Linked DNA regions of Saccharomyces cerevisiae S288C. Changing the gene in region 2 together with the main gene of any one other region gives a genetic interaction. Each region holds a gene or a part of one and is shown on either strand. Other genes may lie near its edges.

Region 1 (3,765 bases), on a different chromosome or scaffold from region 2:
TTATCCTTAAGTGGATGGTACTTAACGGGAGCACCAAATATTTTGAAACCAAACAATAAAGAGGCATTCAACTGGGCCTTGAAGAGCAGCAAGTGTTCAGACGGTAAATTAGCCCGCACTGAATTTGCCTTAGGATTTTATTACGAAAAAGGTGTCGGTTGTGAAGTTGATTTGGATCTGGCCAAACAATATTATCAGAGGGCTGCAAGAATGGGATTCAGGAAGGCAGTTGATGCTCTTCGAAGTTTGACAAATTAACGAATTCGCATTTCTTTATTATGCCATAAATCAAATATTATTCAGGACATTAGTAAAATATTGTAACATTCTCCTCAAAAATGAGAGGAGAATAAAAATAACAAAAGCGAAGAAATGCGACGTCATTTACTCATTATTTTAAACTAAATAAAAAAAATATTGTAACTACTTATCGTTGTAATGATATCTTTTCTTCAAAAAAATATATAGTTGGTGATAAATATGACCTCTTTGAAAAAAAGAAAAGGAAATGAACTACTAGCTAGAAAGAAGAGAGAAAAAAAAAAAAACTAGATTATGCGTGTTGCAATTTTTGCTTTAGGCCGTGCGTGGTTTTGTGTAAGGTTTCATTATTCTTGATGGGAATCGATTGGCTTTCGGCGGGTTTAGTGGTGTGTCTAGTTGGAGCTGGAACGGTGATTGGATCTGGGATTTCCTTGCTTCCTACCAGATTGTAATCACCATCTTTTAGGTTTTGCTCCAGTTCACGCTGATGAGCTGCTAATTCTTCTTCAATATCAACTGTTCTTGGATCATATGTCTTGACATCTGGTTTACTGAAGTTTTCATGCCTGTTGTTGAAATCCTTCTCTGTTGGTATTTCCTGCTTCCCAGATTTTAAGGTGCCAATATTCTCATTCTGAGAAACTGGATATTCGGCTCGGTTATATTGAGAGGTAGAATAGCTGTCTTTGCCACTTTTGGAGGCTGACGTGTCGTTCATGTTGTCAAACTCAGAAGAGGAAAGGCCGCTCTTGTTACGTTGAGAAGTAGAAGATTTGTTTTCGTTACTGATAGAGGTTGAGTAGCTGCCTTCATCGGTTTGGGGTGGGATAATCTTGTCAATGTATGGTTCAGTCTTTTCAACCACCTTGTTGTAATTTTTGTGAAACCTATGAATAACTAGATCCTTCATCCTGTCGATAGCACGGTCAATTCTAGCCTGCTTTCTATCGTAGATTAAAGGCACAGTGTACAAAAAGATGGTGGTCATTATCAAAACAGTGTTCATAGAGAATATAGCAAATAGGCCGTGCAAGAAATAGAGGGAAACACCAATGGTAAAATTGTTTCTTGTTCTGTGTGCAAACACTAACTTTCTGATTCTGTCCTCTAACGCAGGCAGACGATCCAATTCGCGGTCGATATGAGGCTTTAAGACGCCAACAAGGTCCGGAGACTCTTGCATGCCAAACCTAGACACTACTCCTTTATCAAATAGCACCTTTGTAGAAAGCTCCACCGCAAAACTCGTGAACAACACCATGTATCCGATCTTAAGTAAAACAGAAATAACATTGACATTTCTGAGGATCAGCAAACTCACCAGAGTCGCAGCAAAGCTCGCACCCGACTTGCTAGGGTTAGTCCAGTATATCAATCCCGTCTTGTTCTGATGACCTGCTTCACCGGGAGCGTTAGCATTTCTACTGTTATTCAAATTCGCGTTCTTATTGGTAGTCGTATTCCTATTCATGTTGATGATAGTTTGTGGCAAGTTGAGACAAGCAATTGAACAAGTTATTACTACTATTGCTACATAATTGATCTGCTTTTCAATCCCTTTTATATATTTTTTTCATCAAAGTAGCAAGCTTTATCGTTTGAGGGTGGAAATAAGGGTGAACAATAAGGGGAGATTGCCTATGCGCCTAAACGTCACCGTCTAACCTTGTTCTCCTTTCAACAAAAACGCCTTGCGTTCTTATTGCTAGGCCACAATTACAAGCATCTCAAATGGGGCATTATCACACCGGTACCACCGACACATTCTGCTGCTACCCTTGTAGTTTAAGTTAACTTTGCGTCCACTTTTCGTAATTATTTTGCTCCCTGGCAGCACCGGGGGTAAAGATGTCTTTCTGGCTAATGCAGTCATCCTTACATTGTCGTTCGTACGGCAGTCCAGGATTTTTGACCATCTTTACGCAGCAATTCCCATATAACATTCCTTCTCTCCTTGTCAATTGACCCTGGGGAGCGTCTGACCAATAAGAAACCGATGAGTAAGCAATGAAGGTCTTTTTTTTGGCTACGAAAATTTCAGCAATTTTTTAAAGTGAAAAAGTAAAAAAATCAAACATAAAAAAAGAAAGAAAATGAAAAAGTAAAGGAACGCTTTATATAAACGAGGCTACTAACTATCTGTATTATTGCTACACATAGCCTGAATTCAAGGTCATTGGCAGATTGACGCTCGTGTTTGCATGGTACAGGGCTGTATTAGATTTTGAATATTCTGTTCTTCTCATCCCGTATTAATATCTAGAACAATAGAAAAAAAGAAAAGCGAAGAAAATCTAGATAAATTTGTAGTTGGTAAATACACACGTACTATGGGCCCTGAAACTCTACATATTGGTGGGAGAAAATCGAAATTGGCGGTAATACAATCCAACCATGTTTTAAAACTGATCGAAGAAAAGTATCCGGACTACGACTGCAAGGTTTTCACTTTGCAAACTCTTGGTGACCAGATTCAATTCAAACCTTTGTACTCATTTGGCGGTAAAGCTTTATGGACAAAGGAGTTGGAAGACCATCTTTACCATGACGATCCCTCAAAGAAGCTTGACTTGATCGTTCATTCTCTGAAGGACATGCCCACTTTACTACCAGAGGGTTTCGAGCTGGGGGGTATCACTAAGCGGGTCGATCCAACAGATTGTCTTGTCATGCCCTTTTACTCTGCTTATAAGTCTCTGGATGACCTTCCAGACGGGGGGATTGTGGGAACCTCATCCGTGAGAAGATCTGCTCAGCTAAAAAGAAAATACCCACATTTGAAATTTGAAAGTGTCAGAGGAAATATACAAACTAGATTACAAAAACTAGACGACCCAAAATCTCCGTACCAATGCATCATCTTGGCGTCTGCTGGGTTGATGCGTATGGGGTTGGAAAACAGAATTACGCAGCGATTCCATTCGGATACAATGTACCATGCAGTTGGACAAGGCGCCCTGGGTATAGAAATTAGAAAGGGTGACACCAAGATGATGAAGATTCTTGACGAAATTTGCGATCTAAATGCAACTATATGTTGCCTTTCGGAGCGTGCTTTGATGAGAACTTTAGAGGGGGGTTGTTCCGTTCCTATTGGTGTGGAATCTAAATACAATGAAGAGACTAAAAAATTACTATTAAAGGCCATTGTAGTTGACGTTGAAGGCACAGAAGCAGTAGAAGACGAAATTGAAATGCTAATAGAAAATGTTAAAGAAGATTCCATGGCGTGTGGTAAGATACTAGCTGAAAGAATGATTGCCGATGGCGCAAAGAAAATTCTGGATGAAATTAATTTAGACAGAATCAAATGAACACCATTAATTTGATCAGTCCAAAAACTCTATTATTACTAACTAAAGTTCCCTTTTTTTTTTTTTTTTTTTTTTTTTTCCTTATCTCCTTTATCTTTCAGTTATTTATTTCCCTCTCATTCCTCTCATATTACTTGTTTAATTTAATGACCATTTTCAAATGACCACTGCATAAATATTTTGTCAA
Region 2 (3,292 bases):
TGCGAACAGTTTCTATTTGAGCGAGTTAAATCAAGGGAGGGCTCCATTAAAGCTCTTAGATGTGCAATTTGGACAAGAAGTTGAAGTTAATGTATATAAAAAATTAGATGAGTCTTATAAAGCTCCGACGAGAAAACTGGGCGGTTTTTCAGGCCAGGGCCAAAGACTAGGATCTCCTATCCCGGGTGAATCGTCACCTGCGGAGGTTCCAAAGAATGAGACACCCGCTGCTCAGGAACAACCCATGCCGGACAATGAGCCAAAACAAGGCGACACCTCCATCCAAATTAGATACGCAAATGGCAAAAGAGAAGTTTTGCACTGCAATTCCACAGATACAGTAAAGTTTTTGTATGAGCATGTGACATCAAATGCGAACACTGACCCATCGAGGAATTTCACCTTGAATTATGCCTTTCCTATCAAACCAATAAGCAACGATGAGACAACATTGAAGGACGCTGATCTGCTGAACTCCGTTGTCGTGCAAAGATGGGCATGAGCATAAATATACAAAAACAGAAACGGGAAAAGACTTCAACTTAATATATAAATGCACGTATATCTATACCCGTAGTATATATCATTTGTACCTCAATACAATTTCAAATCACCTGTTATTTGATCCAATACTGCTTTTGGAGCAGGTCCTAAACCCAATACGGTGGCACTTCCCGCAGCAATCTGTGTTCTACCAGCATCATGAATAACTGCTGCATTCACCCCAAGTGATATAGCCTTCGCATACAACTCGTCCATTGTAAACTTATCTGGACATTTCAACGTTATTTTAGCCTGTCCAGCATTTAGCCATCTTTGTGTCATAATTGGGTTGTATGAAGCACGCGCGGGGTTTGTAGCAATATGTCTAAAACATGACAATGCTGCGTGACAGCATTGTGCCGCTATTTTGCCCTTTGTCATGCCAAGATCTTGACGAATCACCAATGCCATCCTAACTTCTCCAGGTATATCATTCAATGAAGTGGACTCAATATCTTCGTCCTCATCGCTCTCATCTTCGCTTTCACTTTCCTCCTCATCAGTGTCATTGTGTAGCTTTCCTTCCTTCATTTCTTTAGAACGCAGTAAAGTAGCTGAGGATTTCTTAGTTGATGATGCGTTCGACGTACCCAACTGGTAACCCACGGCAAAGGAGATTGCGGTGAAAGTAGCCCATAAAGCTATGGTGTAATTCGAAGAAACTGTCATCTTTTCCATTAAAAAGACGTTATCATGTTACTCCGCTGTCAACAAGTAATATAGCAAGAAACAATTAGCTCTTATGCTTAAGAGCTTCTAGAAGAGTAGTAATAACCTTTAAACATTATTTTCGTCAGGCGTGATATCAGCGAGTTGAAGAAAAAACAACATGGGTTGTCCCTCAAGAGAATAAACTCAAAGGAGTAAAAGGTGTTTAGAGCTTGTTGGCTCGATTGTTGCCACCGGAAGGCCCCTTTCTGTTTTTAGACTATATTCATTTTACTTTTTGAAGTTTCTATTATAGGCAGACGAAGAAGGCCAAGAAGACAAATCGAAGAAAGAGAGAGATAACATGGGTCAAATATTGTCCAATCCAATTATCGACAAAGAGCATCATTCTGGTACGGACTGTTTGACAGCGTTTGGACTATGTGCCATGCAAGGCTGGCGTATGTCCATGGAAGATGCCCATATTGTTGAGCCGAACCTTTTGGCTGAGTCTGACGAGGAACATCTCGCATTTTATGGTATATTTGACGGTCATGGTGGTTCTTCTGTAGCGGAGTTTTGTGGCTCTAAAATGATATCTATACTGAAAAAACAGGAGAGCTTCAAGAGCGGTATGTTAGAGCAGTGCTTAATAGATACCTTTTTAGCTACAGATGTTGAGTTGTTGAAAGATGAAAAATTAAAAGATGACCATAGTGGTTGTACAGCAACTGTGATATTGGTATCTCAATTGAAAAAGCTACTAATTTGCGCCAATTCCGGTGATAGTAGAACAGTTCTATCTACTGGTGGTAATAGTAAAGCAATGTCATTTGATCATAAGCCCACATTGTTAAGTGAAAAATCTCGTATTGTAGCTGCTGATGGTTTTGTTGAGATGGACCGTGTTAATGGAAATTTAGCGTTATCAAGAGCCATAGGTGATTTTGAATTCAAATCTAACACAAAATTGGGACCTCATGAGCAAGTCGTTACATGTGTTCCTGATATCATTTGTCACAATTTGAATTATGATGAGGATGAATTTGTTATTTTAGCATGTGATGGTATTTGGGATTGTTTAACTTCTCAAGAGTGTGTTGACTTGGTTCACTACGGTATAAGTCAAGGTAATATGACGTTGAGCGACATTTCATCTAGAATCGTAGATGTTTGTTGTTCACCCACAACTGAAGGCTCAGGAATTGGCTGTGATAATATGAGTATTTCCATTGTTGCTTTACTAAAGGAAAATGAATCTGAGTCACAATGGTTTGAGCGTATGAGATCAAAAAATTACAATATCCAAACGTCTTTTGTCCAAAGAAGGAAAAGTATTTTTGATTTCCATGATTTTTCGGATGATGATAACGAAGTGTTCGCAATAACCACCAAAAAATTACAAGACCGCTTGAATCGTAGTAAAGATAATGACGACATGGAAATTGATGATCTTGATACCGAATTAGGCAGCAGTGCTACTCCCTCAAAGTTATCAGGTGAGGATAGAACTGGCCCTATTGACTTGTTTTCGTTGGAGGCTCTATTAGAAGCCGGGATTCAAATAAGGCAGAGGCCCAGCTCCGACAGTGACGGCAACACTTCTTATTTCCATGGTGCTTCTTTATCAGATATGTTGGCATCTTTAAGCAATGCGGCTGCAGGAGAAACAGAACCTAATGATGCTGATGATAACGATGATAACGACGGCGAAGAAAACGGCAAGAATGAAAATGCGAAGAAGGGTTCCAAGATTGAAGAAATTGAATAATAAATATTGTCGAACCGTACTTTGCAACGAAAGAGTAGTCAAACTTTGTTATCTTTATTTGTTATTCCTCTTCTGCCGATGGATTGTTTTTTACTGGATCATCTTTGCGGCCCATATTGAGGAGATGGTGAAATTCATAAAAATCATTACGAGAGAATGATAAATTGTAACAGAATTTATAAATCCTATTCATATAGATACATCTGTTTTTCCTTACTCTGTTTTTATTTTGTTGGTAACCTTTGAATCCTTTTTGATGAAAAAAATAGAAAAAAAAAAAAAAAAAAAATGAAAGCAATATCGACTGTATGTATATGCGCACCATAATTT

Evidence for each region.
Region 1: mutations in PTH2 (region 2) and RTN2 together harm fitness more than expected from each alone (negative genetic interaction), as found in Saccharomyces cerevisiae (one large-scale study listed by BioGRID).

Annotation. Positions count from the first base shown.
Region 1 is NC_001136.10:92,575-96,339, reverse strand, and holds RTN2 (Rtn2p), read right to left. Parts: upstream 1,736-3,765; coding exon 554-1,735; downstream 1-553. Other genes in the region: ACK1 (Ack1p), read left to right, coding at 1-258; YDL204W-A (uncharacterized protein), read right to left, coding at 2,055-2,207; HEM3 (hydroxymethylbilane synthase), read left to right, coding at 2,595-3,578.
Region 2 is NC_001134.8:112,207-115,498, forward strand, and holds PTH2 (aminoacyl-tRNA hydrolase), read right to left. Parts: upstream 1,222-3,292; coding exon 595-1,221; downstream 1-594. Other genes in the region: protein phosphatase regulator SHP1, read left to right, coding at 1-502; type 2C protein phosphatase PTC3, read left to right, coding at 1,556-2,962. UniProt on the Saccharomyces cerevisiae protein: The natural substrate for this enzyme may be peptidyl-tRNAs which drop off the ribosome during protein synthesis.